Struthio camelus: one gene and its partner. The protein of the gene in region 1 purifies or fractionates together with the protein of each later gene. This does not show direct contact. Links are inferred from orthologs where the notes say so. Each region holds a gene or a part of one and is shown on either strand. Other genes may lie near its edges.

Region 1 (11,016 bases):
CCATCCAAGAGTAGGAGCCACCCGCGGTATGCCAAGTGTCCTGTGCTACGATGCCCTCTTTTTCTCCTCTTGGTAGCTCTTACAACTGTGAACACCTGCAGGGAGGACTTCAGTATACCATACAGCACATGTGAAGAACCTCGTATACCCACGTATCATGTGCGATGACCTCAACACCTTTCCTTTAGGATCTCTGAGAACTGCAGAGGTAAGGGGGGCATACTGTCCCCAGTTTATAGATGGGACAAAAACAAGGAAAGATCAATAAGGAATTTTATGTGGAATCAAACCAAAAGTCTATGCTAGAACTGAGAACATCTTCCCAGCTTTTTGGTTTAACAAGCAGATGGCACTGCCTCCCAAAATAGTAACGTCACCCATGCAGTTTGAGTGAGACAGAAACTTTTTAACCTAAACTCTTAAAATGCTTCCTTTAAAGAGTATTTTGCAATGAATCCAGAAAGCATTCTGTGCCTTTTTTTTAGTAAAAAAGAGTGTTTTTCAGAAAGGACCTTTTCGGGGGGAAAAAACAGGGAGACAAAAAAAAAAATTACGAAAAGAAAAGCCTAAAAAGGTGAGTGGTTTTCTTAATTTGGGAGAAATTAGGATTGTGAGAAGTACTATAAGCTGCAATTACATATACACACACGAGACTGCACATCAGCTTACGGAAGACCTGCTCTTACGGTATAAAATTGCTTTAATATTGCAGTGAGACAAGTGTTTTAAAAAAATGGCTTATCATAATGGATTTTCAAAGCAAAAGTAAAGCTGCTTTTCCCTGAGAATAGGGCTTTATAGATGGGAACTTCACAATACCAGTGGTGTGCATTTTACTGCATTTCACAAGATCTCTCATTATTTAAATTCCTATGTATTTATGTCATACATGGATAAACGACCTTATTGTTCAGAACATGTCTTTATATGAACATCTCTGCTGTTAGGAGTAGTGTTATTTTGCTTTTTCTCCCCCCTTCCCCTTACCAAGTCAGAACAAAAGTCTCTTTTACTGCAGTTTTGGGAACTTCATGCAAATGGCAGTTTTTACACATCAATCGTCAGTTTAATAACACTAATGATAAGAGGAGAATTAACGGTAATGGGCTAACTTTTTGGCAAGCAAATCAAGAGCCTATAGAGAAGTTTCTGCTATGACAAACTTTATAGTCCTGCCTTATCAAAAGTGCTAGTAAGGAGACTTAAGACTCACCTACTGACTTGCTAGCAAGCTCGGGTTACTGAACCACTACTTTCTTGCACTAAGAGTGGTTATTTAGAAATCCATTACACAAGGTAGGAAGAGATAGCAATAGTCTTCTGGGACAGCAGGGAGCCATTTACAGAACAAAATAAATTTGCCAAGGGACACAAATCTGATTGAACATGCTCAACATCGCTCTTGGTTAAAGCAATGCTGGTTAGCCTCTCATTTTTCCCTAAGGCATAGAGTTTGGTCATTCTTTCTTCCACCCTACCCCCCTCTTGTAGTAACAGTATTTTGCAGCCTTTAAAGTCCGGTCTTGCATCCATTACTCACCTGAGTGACCCCAGTGACTTCACAGGTGCTGCATGCAGGTGCTCATGCTGCAGGATCAGTGCAGAAAGGGGAAAACAACAACATACACGTAGCCAAGAAAGCAAGAGCAAATGTTTTTTCTATGGATTGATGGATGACAACACAGAGCCGTACTTTCAAGACGTGGCTAGATCATGATCACTAGAATGAGACCGAGTATTAGAAAAAGCATTTGCTTTCCAAACAGGAAAAAAAAAGGATGTGCCAAAAAGGCAGCTTTCTGGAGTTAAGATACCACAAGAGAAGCAAATGATGGCAGATTTTTAAAAATATGTACAGATCAACACAGTAAGAAACAGCCTGCATAGCTGCAAGCACTATGAATGGGCGCTTAACCAGTCACAGTGGTTTCCTGTAGCAATGATGGTCTAAGGACACAGGCAGGATAAGCCTTATATCCTTTAGATATCAACTCTACTTTCTATCCAGACAGACAAGACATAATGCTACCTGTTACGCCACTCTAGCCCAGTTCTAATGTGGGAAACGCTCAGACCACATACGAATTACAGTTTGCTACCTCCCACTCACTTTTTGCTATGTTCAGGGCCCCCTAATAAATTGCTCCATTGCTAAATCCATGTGGGGCACCTTCTTTTCCACAGGTGCCTCACTCCTTTTTAATCTGGCCTGTAGGTTTGCTATGGTTTACAGAGAGAGGCGGCAACGACGGAGCCCTGTATTCAGAGGAAGATGGGCCCTTACAGATTTGGAAAACTTGCTCTTTAGACTGTTTATTATCACAAATAGTCAAATAGTGTTAGAAGAGACAAATTCCCGAATCACTGAATTACTTTTAATAACGAATTCTGCCCTGCTCCTTTGGATGAGGCGATGAATGACTCTACAAATATTTTCATGTCACTGAAATAAAGAAAGAAAGGATCAAATTTAACTTGAATACCTATTAACTTTTTTCAAGGTTCTTCTCCGAACCGCAAACTTCCCAGAAGAAGTGCGCTTCAGTTTGGCCATATTACCCAGCAAACGTTCCCACACCTTGAAGCAGTATTTACAGGTGAAAAAACCTACCCTGATGACTGCTCTTTTGTTTGTGCTGCATGTCTATCATCCTACCTTTTGTGAATGCTGCGAATCAGAAGTTACAAGCTCCTAAGAGTTTTGGAGAGGAGAAATCAAGCATGCTTCCAAACCACTATTTACAGCATGCATATTCAGTGATGGTTTTCATGCGTAGGCAAGTGGAAAAAGATGTTTTTAAGCAGTACAAAGCCTGCTGAAGTGTTATTAGAAGCCCCAAGGCAGGTGGGGCTTTTCATATGCTGCAGAAATGAAACATGTCGTCTTCGGGGAGAAGCTGCTGTTATCTTAAGAGGCCTGTCAAGAAGGGGCAGTTTGGGAGAACTGCGGGAGCTGAACTGCCTCACCTACAAGGAAGCTATGAAACGACAGGAGCTAGAAGGCGTTGTATGCATGTAAGGTCAGAGACAGAAAAGCAGGTAAGCCCAAACAGCAGCTCTCACCAACCTCTGAGGTACTGCCCCTGAGAGGACAGATGCAACAGGTGACTACAGAGAAAAGAGTGAGAAATAACTCTTCCACTCAGCATCATCGCTGCGGTTGCAGGAAAACAGGTGGAATTAGCAGTGGGTTTTACCTGAGAAAGGGTGGATGAAGAGCAAAATAGCTGGAGGTATGCACCTGTGCTGAAATGGATGAGGTCTTTGGACTTTTGCTGCACCATCACCATGACGTAACGCTCCTAGTGAGCCATACCACAAGCCTTGCCATGCTGTCTGAAGTGCCTTCAAACGGGATCAGAGAGAACAACGTTCGTGTCCCACCATCTGGTGTGGCTCATCCCAATCCAGCTGGAGGCATAGAGCCCCAGATCAGGCTTCCCAGCTGGCAATGCATCACCTCCAAGCAGCGCTAATGAGAATGGGGGGTAGCAACCCACCCCTCCGTACACACCTCTGCTAAAATCATCCCATAACCAAATCCTCAGCCAAATGAAGAAATGGATCACTGCCTGAGGTACATGTGACTAGATTTTTACCCAAGTCTGGAGGAGTCCCAGTTCCTACCTGAGTACTGGGGGCTGTGCATGCTCAATCCATGCTGCAGGACGGTATCTGCTCTGAACAACTTCTGGAAAAATACTGTTGCGTCATCAATACATCTGTAATCCAACCAAAAACTTAAAAAGCAGCTGAGGAGCTTTGCATGGTAAACATAGAAAAACACTGATTTCCAAGCCTGCAGCCAGTTGTTCTATAATATCTTCTGCTTTGTGCTGACAACCTTTTTTCCCTCCAATCATTCAGGCACAATGCCTTCAGGTCTGTCTAAGTAATGCAATTTACTGGAGTGGAATTCCCTTGATACCTTCTGCAGCACTCAGTGACAGTATCATTTATACTCGACACTGTCATGCCATGACACTGATACATTGGCTTTCATCCCTCATTCACTGCAGAGTGTGCAATTTCACCTTCCATTGTGCCCTTCTGCAGACTGCGCGTACAAATTTACTCCATTCATTCCTAATTACAAACCTCTGCTGAAATACTCTCATTAGATTTGTATTTCTCACTCCAAATGTCAATCTTATTTGAAAATTCCAATTTTCCGGAAGATTCATCCATTAGCAATAACCTCCAAAGCATTCCTTAACTGAGTGCATTAGAAGCGAAACTGGCAGAGCAGAGATGCACTTAAAATACACCATTGTAGTAAATCTCCATTGCTAATGTTTTTGTATTATTCGAATAATGCAATAATGAGCCCACGACTGGCCATTTCTGCTCCTCCAGCACATAAACGGCATAGGCTAACAATTAACTGCTATGTCAGGATCCGATGGCATTGTAAGGCTGCGCTGAGTTTCTAAGCATTCCCCATTCCCGGTGAGCGCGTGGGGAGGGCATCGTGGGCTGAACATCATCCGCTACCTCCCCAGCTCCTGCTTTTCCCTAGGAGCTCCCGCACATCGCAGGGTGCCACAATAGCCGAGCTGGCCGGTCAAAGGCAGCCTTTATGTGCTGGAAGCCGCTTCTCCTTGATTTTAGCTGGGCATGCCCGAAACTAAGAGCCGTACAAAGAGTTTACGACAACTGTAAAAACGTCTGACTGCAGACTGCGTGCTGCAGGAAAGGCAAGTTAAAAACCAAGCTCAGGGTTTCCCAAGGGAGCAGACAGACAGTCCGCTCTGCAATCCAACAGGTGAACTAGAGCTCTACAGCTGCAAACCTCAATCACATTGCTTCGGTCTCTTATACAAATCCTAATCTGGTGCCTACGTTTCACTTCGAACAGCGTACAGAAAACACAGACATACGCTGTATACGCAGCAGCTGTTTAAGTGCTTAAGAACAATCAAAAAGAGATCCATCTACCTCTTAAAGAAAGGGTGAACACTTCACAAATGTTATCACCATATAAGGAAAAAATTTAAGACGACTGCAGCGTTTATCGATAGTTGTACAACGTGCCCTGTGCGCCACCTCTAAAAATAGCCTGTGTGGTGATACCCCCGGAAAAGAAAATACTGTCTCATCCAATTGGAAAGTGTAGAAACAGTGAAAGGAGCATGAGTGTGCTTGCCACATGACACACACTCTCCTGGTGTTATCTTCAAAGCAATCACGTTTGAACTCATCTGCGTCAGGCGCAGCAGTAGAAAGTAGGGGGAAAAAAATCTACATCTGTATCAAAAAGGGAAAATTCCACAGGAAAAAAATGTCTACACTGCCTGTCAGCATCTGGTCACCTAAAGGATTGAGACGTGCAGATAATTATAACAGATGTAAGGCAATTCCCTGCAGAAACCACCACCATGGAAGCTAATTATTTCTGAAGTTTAGCCCATTCCCACCTGAAATATTTAAAACCTTGATTACTGCATTAGCTCTCTTGCCTTTTATACTTTTTATCAGCAGCTGGTCTCAGGCATGTGCACAGATGTTAAAACAGAAACACGCATTTAAGCAAAAAGGCATAAAGGAGGCGGTAAGAGTAAGGTGGTAGTAACGGCGCTCACAGTGTTCTCCTCCTAAGAAGAGGGAGAGGTTTGCATTAAGGAAATTTAATGGCATTTCTTATTGCATAATAAAAAACTCACCACAGCCAGCATCAATATTCCCACGGAACAACTGCATGTGCCTCTACGTGCCTCCCATATACCACATCCTCCGCGCCGCATGGAGTTATTCAGAATGAAAACCTATCGTCTTATTTAGCCGCGTGCTCCAGTCAAACAAACGAACCCTGCTGCCACACTACAACGCCTGGAAAAACCTGGAAGGGTCACAGAGTGACAAGAAGGCCGTGCAGTACAAGCTGACGCACAACGGAAAACAAGTTTTCAGCGTCTGTACCTTCGGTTCTGCAGCTCTTGAAGAGATGCCTTCTCTCTACTCATCCATTACAAGAATTGCATCAAATCGAGAAGCTTGAAATGCACAGCCACGCTCGTTCTCTGGAAATGCCACAACTACTTAATGAGTGAAGCAGGGAGAGCACCAAACCTTAGACCATACAGTTATGAATTTCCCTGCATATGCTGACAACATCTTCTCTTTAATGTTTCTCTTGGCCACAGGAGACATACCAATTAATGTGGTCATAACCGTTTTAGCAGCTCAATATATTTCAACTAATTTAGCAGATTCCTAACCGGTGTGACTACCTGGAAAAGCCACCAAGACAGCATATTTCAAGACTGGCACCCTAAAAACCAAACTGAAAAGGTTTTGCATGCCAAAAATTAACACTGAGAATTTTGTTTCTTGATGCTCAGCAGATTTGTACAGATTTCCTCCCCGCTCCTTTTTTTTTTTTTTTTTTGGCCAAAAGATTAAGTTCTGGATCAACAGTTCAAGTTACATAAGGGCGATTTTGGAGGGCTGGTTTTAAAGAACTTTGAGTCCTCTCTAAAGCCGCTTCTTCCAGATACCAGAACAACTCCGTTTCCAAATTTCTTTCATCACCACTTCTTACTTATGGACTAAGCTTAACTCCTTTTTTTTTCTTAGATAAGAAAAAGCTGATAAATTAACATAGCTAGACAACACTGCAAGTAAACTCTGTCTTTCATCTCAACACAGACACATTTACAAGTATTCAGCACAGGACTTACCAGATAGAGATGAAGCTGCATGTAAGCCAGTCATCAGAGCTAACAGAACGATTATGCTTGCTCTACAAATTGTGAAGCATTTGAATCTTATTTTTAGTTGTACACAAAGGGCAATAAATGGAAAATCTTATTGTAACCACCGCTTTTTTTTGGCCACCCACACTTCCAACACCTACAGCGCAAGTATATAAATGCAAAAAACCCAGAACTCATGGCTCATGTGAACAAGGGATGCAAACTAGCTAAATGCTGTTACTTTTTTCCAATTTGTACTTGGAGTTTCATCAGATCCTGTTAAGCATCAACGACACAGATATTCATACACGCGGCATATCTACTGGGTCAGGTATCATGTTGGATTTTCACGCATTTAATTAATTATTTGCTCTCAGTTATCCGGTGGACTTCTTCTCTAAGCTGGCTAACCACTGATGAATTTTCAAATGATGAAACGGTGGAGATGCATCTCCCTAACTCTCGGTTTCTCCCCCTGCTCCCTAAATTAGTGATGTATAAGGAGTTAATGCTTCACTTACCTGTGAGAAATTATGCTGAATACTCTACCCAGAAACTGGCAATTAAAAAAAAAAATCCCTTTACACTCATAATAGTAGAAGAACTTGAAACAAATTGCTGTCAAGGATGATTTCATTATGTTTAAATCCACTTTACCTCAACTTGCTTTGCAAATTACTTTTTAATTTTAAACATAAAACTCCCGCACCTACTACAACGCTAGTTTATCTATGTCTCCCGTGCCTGATTCTTTCTGTTTACACCAAGCACTCTGCAAAGCAACACAAGTATGAACCTAATTACCATCTGAAACGCTGCAGAAAGTGAACCCAATTAACTGATGAAAAGAGAAATAAAGAAACATGCCTGTCTTAAGAGCAGACTAAAGAAAAGTACAGGTGAAGCCACATCTGGGGATGGGGGGGGGAAAGGAGAGTTAACAATCTGCCGTCATTAATTATCTTGCCGCCTCTGAAAACGCAAGTATTATAGAGGGTAAAGCATCCATTACAACACTCCCTCTTCTGAACTCTTCAGAAATCATAACAGGAAACACGTGCCGTAAGCTTGCAATTAAAATTTAACAAAATAATTCAGACCAAGTGTCAGCTCCAGAAAAACGTGCTTTTACCTGCACTCGCTCACTAATCGCCAGCTAGACAGCGCGGCCCATCCTCTCCCAGCAGCCAACCCGCAGCCCGAGGCAGCGCCAGCTGCTCCGAAGGCACGGCACTTTACGCAGGACGCCTGAAATCAGACACAACGCTTCTCTGGCGATGATTTAGGTCGCAGGAGTGAACGTGTGATGTATGCTGTAAAGGTGCAGGTATTACGAAAAAAATGGGTCATACACCACTGAGCTAACAACCACACCACCCCCAAAGCTGGTACTAAATGACTGTGCAGAGCTCTGCCAGAAGGAAAGGATAGATTTAAACAGCAGTGAAAACAAAACTGATGCGGTGAGATGGATTTTACTTTTCACTGGTTTGGGTTAGAGAGAAAGTTAGATTACCCTGTCACCATCGCTCGGTATTTTCTTAATAAATGCGAACTGCCAGCAGGTAAGCTCTTCTGTGGGAAACTTCAGCCTCGCCAAGGTGCTGTCCCCCTCCACCTACGGGGAAACGCTTGTTATCTCATTCCCTATGGTAAGAGGAAGTGTTACCAGCCCCGGGCGGTGGGCTGTGACTCAGTCGCTCGGGCTGACACACACACGCAGGCTGTCACCTGCAACAGCAAAAATAAAATCCTCGCCACAACATCCCAGTCACGTGGAAAGCACGGAGTAAATAGATCAATAATACCTCACACCTACAGAGCGCTTCACACCTTTGAAGTGATAAACAAACATTTGATTAATGGCAGGAAGGGAAGAGGTGTCAGAATAATGCCGTTTTGTATGTTGTAGCGTATTAGAACAGACAACACCGTCCTCCTCAGACCTAACAACTAAATACAGCACAGAAATTCCAATTATTTGAGTGCGGGGGACAAAATTAGAGGGAAGGATCTGCTCCGTGCAGCCAGAGTGCTGTCTGTTCGTGTCACGAAGCCCTTGCAACCAGCCTCTCCTGGTGGCAGGAAGAGCCGTCGCTGCCCATCTGCGGGCAGAGACGCCTTGGCCGCGGTTAGAAACTATTGCTTAGAAACCCTCAGACAGGGATGTCTGCTCACTGCATACACGTGTGCGCGCACACAATAATCGTGCATGAGGTTACACCTAACGTTTTCCAGACTCTACTGAATATATTTGTTCTAAAAATATACATAATGCGTGTGCATACATATACACGTATGTGTACGTATAAATACAGTTTTCCAATCGACAGATAATGCTGCAGCAAATACTTATCAAAAGCAGCGTTCAGGCCCCCAAGCTTTGGGTTAGCCCTGCCTTGGGTATGGAGACACGGGCAGCGCTGGGGAGCACCTGATTACAGAGAGAGATTGCCACAGTGACGGCGGCAGCAATCAGTGGTCCTATGTACTCTCAGCGGCGGGCAGCAGAAGCAACCCAATTAATTAGCAGCGAAGAAAATTTGCTTTAGAGCATAGGAAAAATCTTCCTGGCTATTTTAAGATCGAGGCCCTGGCTGCCGTGGGAGGTTATGGACCCCCCCCCCCAACCCCACCATGGGAGATTTTAAGCTGAACGTGTTAGTGATGGTACATTGGGTGCACAACCCTACTCAGAGCTGGTGGGCAGAGCAGTGTGCCTTCTCCAGCCTACTGCTAGCTCAATGATATGCCATGTCAGTACCATAACACGGGCAAAAAACCCCTTTTCTATCCTAAAAATAACGCTTTCCACTGACTTGTGTCACACCTTGGACTTTACCACCAACGCTCAGAAAGGCCACTAGCAGGTTCCCAATCTCCAAGCAAGGAAACGTACCAGAGAAATCATGACGTCCATCAGGTAGCATCGCTGTGGCTACCAATGTGACATGGAAATCACCTAAATGCTACAGTGATATATGCCAATATGAAGCTCTTAAAAAGACAGAGGGCAAAACTCTGCACAAAAAGAAGTTTCTCATCCATAGGAAAGCATTTCTGGACAGGTGGCAGCCCTTTGCTAGGACTATGGCCCCATTTAAATAAAATACTTGATGTCCCGTAGGAATACCTCACTCGCACGACCAAGATACCAGCAGTGTTTGTACCCAGAACCGAGCAACTGCCTCCCCTTCCTATCTTCACTGCATTCCTGCCAAATACTGGTGATAAGTCAGATGCGTGCACCTCTCGGAAAGCAAGCCTGAAATTTCGCAGGACAAGCAGTTCTGCAGTTAACGCACAGAAAACACAGAAAGCACCACATGAGAATGGGACTTTTTTTTTTTTTTAATTGAGATTTTGTGGCAGATGTGGCCACATCTCAAATTAAAATCCAGTGCTGTCTGCTCAGCAGCATAAAAACACCCGTCTCCTTAGCTATGACCATGGCACTTGGGAGCGGTTGGACTGGATTTGGTAAGAAGAGACCCAAGTGTTTGGTAAGTAGATGTTCAAAGGGATGGGACTTGACCTTCAGAGATCTGGTTTCCTCATTAATCCAATCAAGTTTCCTGACCTTTGGGTGCAGATTTATAAAAAGACACATTTTTTTCCCAGTCTGTGGTAGTAGGCGGATGACAGACATCTAATCATCAAAATCTGCATCTTAAAATTTTACATTATTTACATCTGCCTACAGACGGTAGCAGGACAGAGTTAAAGAAATCTTACAAAAAGAAATTGTGAAGAACCCATACCTAGAGAATATTGATGTCGTGTGCAGAGGCTTTCTGAGTTCAAGTTTTGGGGGCTTTTTGGAAGAGAGCACTTACTTAAAGGCTCTTGCTGAATTCTCCACACAGTCTGTGCACAAGCAGCACAAATTAAGACAATTTACTGTCCTCAGAATGCCCTTGATTGGTGCGTTATTTTTGCCGCTTTTAAAGGAAAAGGAACAGCGGCGAGACAAAGCCAAAAACGGGAACACAGCGCTGCAACTGCAGCTCGGAGCGCGGTCCAGCTCCCCCGTGCTGCCGGCAGGGCAGCTGCCGGGCCCTGTCCCGGTTTTTGCCCGGGGACACAGCGATAGCAGCAGCGTCTGGTCAAAGCCCCATCTGTATCATGTTATTAGTGATCGCTCAGGACAACAAACTACGAGCTGTTCAGCTTCTCCCTAATTCCTACGCTCCCTCGTTACAGCCCCAGTCGAAGCTCCCCTGCGATTACTCCCAGGGGACCCGGATAAAGGCTTTTTATCTCGGCGTGTGAACAGGGTTTAGCAATCTGCTCTATCAGAACAAGGGAGAAGCCTTCGGCT
Region 2 (10,509 bases), on another chromosome or scaffold:
TCACACAGGTTGTCTGAACACTGAGGGTTGTACACTGTACTCTTTGGATCCCAACTTCAGTGCCTGAAACACTACAGAGAGGAAAAGCTCTTACAACTCCCATCCAACCACCTCACAGCCCCTCTCTGGTCATCAAAGACTGGTGAGCCTGGCTCTCCAGCTGGGATAGTCATTGCTTACCTACCAATGCTTTTGTCAAAGAGGAGGCTCTACAACTTCTCTCTTCCTGTCTTTATGCCATTGCCCTCTAGTTACACTTCAGTGCTTTAAAAACATCTTTCTAAAATACTCTGTATAAATCCCTTATCATAGTGCTGATCCCAGCAGAACAGTTCTACCTTCTTGCAGTCAGTTCTGCCTCCTTCTAAGAATACTTCCAGCAGTTTTCCTCCTTGTCTCCCCTTCTCCTCCCCATCACACAGCTCTTCACAGCATTTACTGTGCCTCCTTCCCTTAAGCTTCAGGGAACCCAGAAAAAAAAAAAAAAAAAAAAAAGCTGCTACTTCAAGACTGCGGATCATTCGGAAGAAATAAACTGCATAAATATACCCAATTCACAGGCACACCTTAGGGAAGGAGCTATTGGGGAACTTGGTCTGGAATAAAGGAGGCTGCAATGTAGTCTTCATAGGCCACACAGGTGATGGGGCGTATTAAAATATGTAAAATATATATTTTTCCATATTTTAACAGCAATGGATTGAAAACAAAAGGTTATTCCTAATGGGTGTGGTCAGATCCAAGCATTAGTCTCCATTATTCTCCCACTCCATTCACGGCAGGATGAAATTCACTTCAAAAAGCCTATTTCTCTGCCCTCACAACAGCAGATGGAAGTCGGGAGGGGAGGGGAGGGGAGACCTTTCTTACAGGGAGTAGAATGCCACTAAAGGAAACTCTTTTCCATATATTCATCTCACATGATGATTTCTATGGTCCAGCTGTTTCCTGGCTCTTGAGCATCATTCACAAGGACTCCAGAGGCTTCTCAGGTATCTTCTCCCAGCTGGAAAGCTGCCCACGGCCTAGAAGGGGTTGGGGAGGCAGGGGGAAGGAGGAAGCAGATCTTGCTATTTGTACTGCATACAGAGCTCAAATCCTGGACACGAGGTTGATGGAGCCACCGAGTCCAGAGAGAAGCAGCCAGTTAAGTTCCCTTTGTAGATTATTTTTTCTTTTTTTTTTTTTCTTCTTTTTTCCTTTTTATTTTTTTTTCCTTTTTTGCACTTTTGGAAGAGAACTGTTAAAATGCCAATTCTTGACGTGACCAAGGACTCTGGAACAATGCATAAGAGCCTTTTCCCCTCCCCTCTGAAAGGCTGCTAGTTCCCCCACCGAGGGCACTAGGATGCTGCTGAAAACGGCACAGAACTGGATGAGATTTCAGCTGATTTCACGATGGTGATGACACTGGTGGTGGCAACTTTGGTCGGGGTAATAGGCCCTCGCGCCACAGTACGAGCAAAGGTCTGGAGTGCTTCGTACTTGGAGCGCAAGGCGTCCAGCTCTAGCTTCATGCTGCTGTTTTCTCTGGCCAACTTCTCCACCTCTTGCTGCAACTCAACCCGCTGCCTCTCTAGCTCCTCCTTCTGAGTCACACGCTTGATGCGGCAGCTGGCAGCGTAGCCCCTGTTCTTCAGCGTGCGTCTCCGCTGCTTCAGGCGGATGACTTCCTCTTTGGTGAGACCCCTCAGGTGCTGGTTCAGCTCCCGTACGGACATTGACACGAGTTCATCATCACTCAGCACTGGGGCATTCTCTCCTGACTCCTCCTTTACCTGCAAATACCAACAGTACAGGGGTAGCAGCAATGCTATACGAGCAGCTATTCTGGGCGGATAAAGGAGATAGGGTACCCCTCAGCAACATAACCCCCCTACCTGGAAAAAGCCCCCAAAGCACTTTACAGACCACATGCTCCACTAGAGCGTAGCCACAGCTGCGTAGAACACGGCAGGGACCTGAACACTGTATCTCCTGGCTTTGGGTAACCCTCTTAAGTTGGAAAAGCAATCAGCCTTATGCATCCAGTTTGAACTGACAGACAGAGGAAATAGTAAGATTTTGAAGGAGATAAAAGCGGACTGAAATGCCCTGCGTTCCTGTGTCAGGACATGGAAATGAATCCTAAAAATGACACCTTTTCTCAGCATCATGCTGGGACACCTCATATGCTCATTATATACTGGAACACCTTGGCACTCCCAAAAACAGAACAGCCACTTGCACGCAAGGTTTAATTAAACATCTGGTGGCTTTTTGTTGAAGATGCTCATCCAAGCACTGACCGAAACCAACCCTGCTTGCCTTACAGGACCACAACATGATTTTGGTTTTCTGGAGCACAGTCCAGGGAAGTTGTATGCGAGAGACCCCAAGGGATTGTGCCTTTTTCTTATGGATCTCTGCTGCCACAATTATTTTTAGAACCTTTAAGACATCTTTTTTTTGTCTCTTCAGAGATTGCAGAATACCTAGAACGAAAAGCCAAGATACCAGAAAGAAATCTGAACAAAGCATGAACAAAGTGTGCAGGGACAGCCATAAAGCAGGTGTGTCCCAGATGTTTACTGTCCCACGGACCTGTGAGAAAACAGCTTGAAACTTCCTTGCTCCAGTTCATCTCAATTCTGAGAGCGAAAGTAACGTACTCTCAGGCCTGGGAGCATTGGTTTCAGGATGCTGCCAATACTTGTTATAGTCAAAAGTCTCTTGGGTAACAACTGGGATACTCTAGCCTTGATGCAATCCCATACTCGCCAGACTTCTTTCTAGATATCACCAGTATTTCTCTATCCTATCTTCTCAAGAACTTTCCTGTAGATAGTGAGAAATTATATTGGCACCCATTTGCAAGAGTCTCTCCAAAGGGGGGGGGGGGGGGGGGGGAACACATGTGACAGTCTTCACATGGAATATGGTTCCTTGACACCTTCCCCTGCCACCCAGCATCACCCACTCAGCCTTTCTCCCTACCTTTAATGCCTTGTTCGGTTTGGGATTAGTCGTCATAACCTGAGCACAGTCTTCTGGACAGAACTGCTCAGAAATTGCAACTGAAAAACAAAACAAGATTTTCAGGTTATCATAATCTCAGAGATAACAGTAGGAAAACGATACCAACACACACTCCAAATCCCCAACTCTAAAGCATCATTGAAAGAAACATCACACAACTGTTTAAAATCCTGGGAAGGATTCAGAGATTAGTTTACCCCCTTCAGAAAGAAGGGGAAACGTGCATTGACAAGTGCCCTGCTTTTTAATGCTAAATATCTAATATTTTGTTTTTAAGTACACCAAGATCAAGCAAGGAAGATGGGACTGGGAGGGCAAAAAGGGTACTTGCTCCTGCCTGTAAACAACAGTTATGCTAATAACTGCATACTACCTTGCAACATGCCACCTCTTCTGAGGGGGAGAGCAGAGTTCAGCCTCCCAGGCCCAATCAGTTGTTCATCTCCTTCTGGAGGAATCCCAGACACACAGAATGGTCTATTAGGGACTGAATTAAGACTTACCTCTGCTCATAAAGGGCATTGAAAAGCCACAAGACAACAACTCCCTTCATTCTTATTTTGATTATTATTAACCTAGCCTCAAATTGAATCAGCAGCCCAGAAATAAGCTGCCTAGTTTGTAACCTGCTTTCACAGCCATCCCCACCCAAAAGAGACGCTACTAGAAAACCCGAACAGCAGAAACGAAAGCCCCCAGATAACAAAGCAAGGCAGGTGTTTGCCTCTCCCAGCACACCAAGGCTGTTGCTTCATGATCCTCTCAGCCCACAGGCTGCTAGAGCTAGCCTGCCTGATATTTCTTGTGACGTGGAGGCATGTCCACCGACAGACAGACCGTCCTCTGTCGAGACGCTGCCCTTCACTCTCACCTTAGCTGGCAACTACACCCCTTCGACCAGCGCTTTGGAGAAAATCTACCTGCCTAGACCTCCATCCGAAATCTTCACCCCACCGAAGTGCCAAGGATGAGCCTGGCAGCGCTGCTGTCTGTCAGGTACCTACCACGAGAGAGACGACTGCAGCTGTGACTCCATCACAGCCTCTGCTTATCGCTCCCCCAGCATCTCGGCTACCCCTGCAGGGAGGGCGCGAGGCACTGGCTCCCACACCACGCCGGTGCCCCCTACGCACAGCCGTGGCGGCTTCAAGGGCTGCACACCCAGTGGCACTGCAGAGCGCACAGCCTGTCTGGCGGGAGTCCTCTCCCCCCACCCCACCCCACACCCTCCCCATTCCCACGTCTGCATCGTGTCACACATTCTAATCATTCATGAAAAATCCAGCCAAAGCATCCCAAGCATGATTCCCTTCTGATAGTTGCCATGGTGACCTTGGGAAAGTAGCCAACCCTGAGACAGTCACCATGGAAACAGAGAAGCCCAAAAGCAATAATGACTTCAGGTCATGTCTGTGCAAAGACATCACGAGGTCGTCAGAGAGTAAACAAACTCATTCATATCTGCAAACAAGGGGTGGAGGGACTTGGGGGGTGGGGGGGGGGGGGACAAAGGTGGGGTGTGGGAACAACAGAGAGCCATGCGGGTAAAGGTGCTGGCTCAGCTTGCGTTGCTCTCGCTTGAATTTTATCAGTCAAGACACCTCATTGTCATATGACTTGCAGAAAAATCAGGATAAAGAGGGGGAAAAAAAAAACAAATCCCATAAATGCGAAGCTACAAGATACTATCCTAGATATTAGGGTGTGTATTTAGGCACCTCCTCTATTTTTAAGCCTGAGACAGCACAGCTTTCCATGCCTGCTGGAGGAGGGACAAGGACAGCCGCACAGCACACCAGCCAAGATGCTTTGTGATGAATGGACCACTTACAGCAACTGGTGTGCGCTGCATTTTCTAGAGCATCACACAGAGTCCTTCCCATCCCTCCTCCAGTATCAAACCCCACCCTGGGCCCACTTCCAGGAGCCCTTGCCTCCACCACGGCAGCAGGAGCAGGCTTGGCAGAGGGAAGGAGAGCACCCAGCGCAAAACCCAGTCCCTCGCTGTTAGCACAGCCCCCACCTGCCCACGAAAGCATCCTCAGTTACCGAAGGGAGAGGCCACCTCTGACCTCTGGCTGCTGCAAAACTGCGTATCTCGCACTGGAGTCGATGGCAGACAGAAACGCTCTCCCATGAGAGCGCACGCAGACGGGCGCCTTTTCAGATCTCAGCGCTGCCCTTTCACCGTCCTCCTCTCCATTGCTTCCCCTTCACACTTGGTATTCACCGCCCGCCCCTACCTCCAAGCCAGAAGCACACACAAACGCACGCACTAGCACAAAGGAGGAAGGAAAAGCTCGTTGTCTTGGCCAAACGGTCCCAGCAAGCTAAGGAGAGCAGAGCGCTGCCAGTGCGTAAAGGAAACGGCCTGCAGCCCCCTCCCTACACACGCACAGCGCCGCGGGCCTTGCAGGCAGTTGGTGCCATAGTTATGCAGTGAGTCACCAGCTGTTTACAGAGTTTGAGAGCTCACATTCCCACAGCATCAGAAACTCTTCCTTCCCCCGGCATCCCCCCTCCCTCGCCACCCCCATCCCTACAAGGAAAGGGGCACACTACAGTCCCACTGGCGGCACTTCGCGCAGTTAAACCGGAAAAGGAAAGTCAAAAAGGAGGGGGAGGCCGAGGACAGACCGGTCACACCCACTGATTACACAAAAAGCCTTTTGATCCTCACCCAATGTGTCTTCAAAGCACTTTCTACACCAGCCGATGGAAAAACTGAACAGACCGCTTGGCTGCACAGAGATGGAAAGAAACGTAAAATATTGTGGAAAACAAGTGCCGAGGGTTGAGATTCCCTCCGGTGGGGGTCACTGTCTGGGCTCGCCTGCCACCCAAAGCAACGCCGCTGCCGCCGCGTTAATAAGCTGCTCCGACTCCACGTGATGAATCCACTTCTGGTCACCTGTTGCTCTGTGTCGCCAAAGCAACATCTCCTTACACTGCACATTCCTCCGCGGACAACACAGACTCCTTCACATTTGGTACGAGTGCACGGTTGGTACCCGAATTAACAGGGGTCTTGTGCTTTACGTATTGCTTTCCTTGCATATCGAAGCGCTCTAAACAGACTGGCTTCCCTCTAAAACGGGTTGGGATCAATCCTATTGCATTGGGGCGAGATGCCAGAGCCCTTCCTGGCACAGACACGAGGAAGGAATTTAAGCCACCACCAGTAATTACGATGTCTGGCCATCTTCACATGCGAGCGGGATGGGGGTCACCCCCACTCTTAGGGGCAGAATTTGGTAGTGCAAGCAGGAATGCTTCAAATGGGCTTAAGTTCCTCACTCAAACGTGAATGCCAGGGTGAGGCTTACCTCTGCACTAGGTGAACCTGCAGGCGTGGTCTGAGCTTAACGCAAAACTGATACACCACCACTTGCAAATCCTCGCTGACAATCCCGCGTGGCCTCGGTCAGCTTACTTAAAAGTTGACTCCGTCTCTCAGCTGTACAATCCTTTCTGTCAGTACTATTTAGGACTATTCGGTTACCAACTAGAAGTAAATATAATTGGCAGGGCGCTTCCCACAGACAGAAGGCAAAACCCCATGATAAAGTAGTAAATAATACTGCAAACTTGCCATATTCAGCGGTGCCCCCTAAACATGCTACACAAGGGTCTTCTGGGACGCTAACTCTGATTTGATTACTAGAACCCTTTTAGTCTTTACCCTATTTCTGCCCTTCTTTTCTTAATTGCATTTGCTGCATCACGTCTAAAATTAGGAGCTAAGCTTTTTGGAACAAGGACTGCATTACATCTTTATTCTGTAAGCAGTATGACACACTTAGGATGCTACATAAATAAAACAGTGAGTAGTAATATACCAACAGTAAGGGGCAAAGGCTTTCACAGTTCGGCTCTGTGCTTGTACTTAAAACAAATGTTTTGACTGTAGGTTACACAAAGAGCCCTTGTAATTCTACAATAAAGTTATCCACTGATAGTCTTGCCAACGCCCTCACCCTCTCCAAGACGACTCCTAAGTCATTCACAGCACCTTTCTAAAAACTTGGTGTTCTCAGGCTGACCTCTTGTCTGATGGTCTCAACTTAATCCATCTAGTGATCCCCAATTCCTTTGCCTCGAGAGGAAAGAGGAAAGAAAATCTGACCAGTGCTCTGAGGCAGGACAGAACCTTACGTAAAATTTGCAATTAAAAAAAAAAAAAAAAAAAAGAAATGCCAGAATGATTTTCTATGCTACAGGGCTCTCAGAGCACATTACACATTAAGGATTTACTGTAAAGTCATTTCTAACACCCAACAGCCGTGGATGAACTCAAATTTTAAAATCTATTCTATATCAAAAGACAAGCCTGGCCAGAACATAAGTATCTGGCAGACAGCCCTACTGGTATTGAGCTTCCATCCTCAGACAAGTACAGCAAACTGAAAACATGCAACTCTCACCTTGAGCCAGGCCAGCAACGACTTCTAAAGGGTAAAAACACAGCCTACGGTTTTAAGCAGTGAGAGGATATCAGCCATCAAGTCTTAATTCGGCACAGCCATGTATGCAGGGAATATTCTACTCAGACTTTCCCAAATGCAGGAGTATAATTCCCCAGCAGCTGTTTTAGTAAGTTGCCTAAATTTCTAGTTTATCCACAAGTTATTCCCAACTCCTGAAGCTAGCCAAATGAATATGCTTACCAAGAATAACGTCAGATCTGACAGGTGAAGGGAACTACAGATGCTCAAATCTTGATCTCTGTGCCTCTGTCCCTCAGAGGCATGACATGGATTTCCAACACATTGCAGCATGGTATGCAGAGCACCATCCCTCTCCCATCATTCAAAGACCATTTTCCTGCTCTAACAATCATCGCTCATCCTGAAAGACAGACTGACGCTTGTCATTCATTTGTAATAAGAGAGGGGAGGGACAGGCTGATGGTGTGAATCAGAGAGTAGAAGCATATGCAAGGCAATGTATTTGACACGAACAGAGAGAAGACACAGAGGAGGGGGTGAGTCACTGTTTACTGTTCTAGAGGAGCTACACACAGCCCTCGCCCAGCTGGCCAGCTTTCCATTTCCCTTATGGATCGGAACCAGCATCCAGCAGCAAAGAACAGATTCAGGAACCTTCAGACCGAACTTGAGAGCTGCCAGGACACAGCTCTCTGAGGCACTCTCTGGGGAAGCCTGGACAGAGATCAGACAGTCTTCAGTGGTTTGGTAAACAACCTAGACAGATGCTGCAGAGAGCCTGTGGTTGGAGAGCAGAGGATACAGGAGGGTACACTTGTGTGTCACATCAGAAACCCTGGATTTCTGGGGAGGTGCTGGCTGAAGGGGAAAGGTATGCTAGAGACAGTTCTGATACAGCTGAGGCACAGCATATAGCACTTCTTTCCAGTATGCCCTTATAGAACACAGTGACAGAGCTACACCAGAATTAGGTCTCAGCATCACTAGCCTGGAGATGCATTCTCCCTCAAAAAGGGAAGCTGAGCCACAGAGCGACCAATAACCCTCAGATCTAGGAGCAGAACTGGGATCAGGATTCCTGACTTCACTGGTCCTGATCCCACGTGCCAGCCATTAAGTCAGACATCTTCCCTGATTGCTAATAATGGAACATAACAGCATTGCTATTCAGGGTCCTGTAATATTGCAAAGCAGTGGGATTTGCAATGCAATCTGTCCCTCCACTTCAGAGCTTAGCAGTAGGGTAATTGCTTTCATTACCGCCTCCCTCCTCCCCCCCTCCTCGTCTTCACAGTCACCCAGTGCTGCATTGCTTTGTGCTTGCTTCATGCTTGGAAGACTCTCTGCCCGAGTTTGAAGATAGCCTGAAACAATAGCTCAGACAGAAGTGGAAACTGCCTGTTCATCTCAACAGGGTGCTGAGCCTGAAACTTCCTGATAATTGAAAGTGCTAGCGCTGCTCAAGTACTTCACAGCTGGATGTTTACAAAAATGATCAGCGTGAGCTTATCCCACAAACCCTAACTGCCGCGGGGGCCAGCACTCCCAGCTGTCCTCTCTCCGATTCCCAAACATCGAACACAGCTAGAAATTTTCAATATCAAATTCTGCAGTCGCGTTCCACATCGTTAATCATTTTTCAACGTTGATGGAAATACGAGTGCATCGAGCTGATCTGTATTTTTATTCTTTCAGAAGGCACACAGTCATTGCAAACTCCTTGCTGCAACAGATTGCCAAGAAGGGCAAAGGCACAGAAATGAGCTAAAACATGACAAAGCACGCTGTCCTGGACAGGCGAGCAAAAAAAGCTAGCGAATTTCCGTCTCGGGCTTAGAAATACTTTCAAAGCAGGGCTAGAGCTTGCCCTAATATAGCCAAGAACATTTAACGCAGTAAGACTCAAGTGCAAAGCCTCGACAAGTTGAGAGCCGGCAAAGACTGGCAGAACGTCGTGCTAACGAAAGTCACCACGTGCCCCAACCTTGCAGCAATCTCCTCATTAATAACATCTTCCAAATTGCCATCCAGCACCTCTTTCAGGTACAAATAGAGTTAATTCTCCTGCCGCTCAGTCCTGCCAGTGCTGCGCACTGCCATTGGACAACAATAGTGTCCATCACATTTAGGAAGTGACTGCACGAGGAAGGTTTCTCTGCATTACAGTGTATACACGGAAGGAGAGAGAAAGAGCAGACGAACGAGCGCCGGTTTCATCAGTGCGAAAATAACAAGGTAAATTAATTTGCTACTAAGCCATGACAGTGCCACACTGGAACGCGCTGGCCAGGCTGGGGTGCCGGGTTATGCTTTTCTACAGACAAGGCTCACGGGGACTCAAAACACAACAAAAGGCATGCAGCTTTCCATCTTGTAGACAGGATCAGTTTCTTCCTAAGCACTCTGCCTCTCTTTCCAGTCCCAGTTTGGCTTTAGGACCAAGCTAGGAAAGGAGGGGACGGCCAGATGAAAACGAAAACGGAGGCCTTTCCATTTTCTGTAACATAACTTTGCCCAAAGGGGGTTGGTTCCTAATTTGAGATCTCATGGCCTGCTTTTAGCAGAATCGGTAAAATAGATCCCCTCCTCCCCAGAGCAGCACACGAGGGAGGGGAGCAGACTCACAGCAGCCTTCATAGGAGGAGGAGGAGGAAGGAGGTCGTCTGTCTCAAATTGACTGTAAAACACTTTTAGAGTTCAGAGATCTCAGTTCCCCTCACTTGCGGCCTGGACGTTTCTCCCGCTTACGCCACCTTCTTCCTTGTCTTCGTGAAGTCTTTGGAATGGGGTTTCCCCACCCTCATTTCTGACTAAAAATCCAAACCGATCTGTATCCACCAGACAGTCACGTGGCGGCGGTGCCAGCAGAGCCGATTCTGAGAATGTCACAGTCCCCTTTCCTCCCACAGGCGTGGTCTCCGGGCAGCTGGAGATTACCCTTTATTTCAGCGTTTCCACCCTGCAAAGAGGGCCCTCACCAGAGGCTCCGAGACGGGCCAGAGGGCTGCGCGCACCTCTCTCCCAGCCCGAGGAGAAGTTGTGC

The links.
Region 2: the proteins of BACH2 (region 1) and MAFK purify together in Homo sapiens (co-immunoprecipitation; 3 studies listed by BioGRID and IntAct, with this or other methods). This does not show direct contact. The link is inferred for Struthio camelus from reciprocal best matches to the Homo sapiens genes BACH2 and MAFK.

What each region holds. Positions count from the first base shown.
Region 1 is NC_090944.1:50,515,627-50,526,642, forward strand, and holds the start of BACH2 (transcription regulator protein BACH2), read right to left. Parts: upstream 6,778-11,016; 5' UTR 6,702-6,777; coding exon 6,681-6,701; intron 5,986-6,680; exon of another isoform or gene 5,920-5,985; intron 5,691-5,919; exon of another isoform or gene 5,676-5,690; coding exon of another isoform or gene 5,664-5,675; intron 1-5,663. UniProt on the Homo sapiens protein: Transcriptional regulator that acts as a repressor or activator. Binds to Maf recognition elements (MARE). Plays an important role in coordinating transcription activation and repression by MAFK.
Region 2 is NC_090956.1:6,855,429-6,865,937, forward strand, and holds the start of MAFK (transcription factor MafK), read right to left. Parts: upstream 5,516-10,509; 5' UTR 5,156-5,515; coding exon 5,068-5,155; exon of another isoform or gene 5,058-5,067; coding exon of another isoform or gene 5,042-5,057; intron 4,261-5,041; exon of another isoform or gene 4,023-4,260; intron 3,057-4,022; coding exon 2,977-3,056; intron 1,779-2,976; coding exon 1,344-1,778; 3' UTR 1-1,343. UniProt on the Homo sapiens protein: Since they lack a putative transactivation domain, the small Mafs behave as transcriptional repressors when they dimerize among themselves.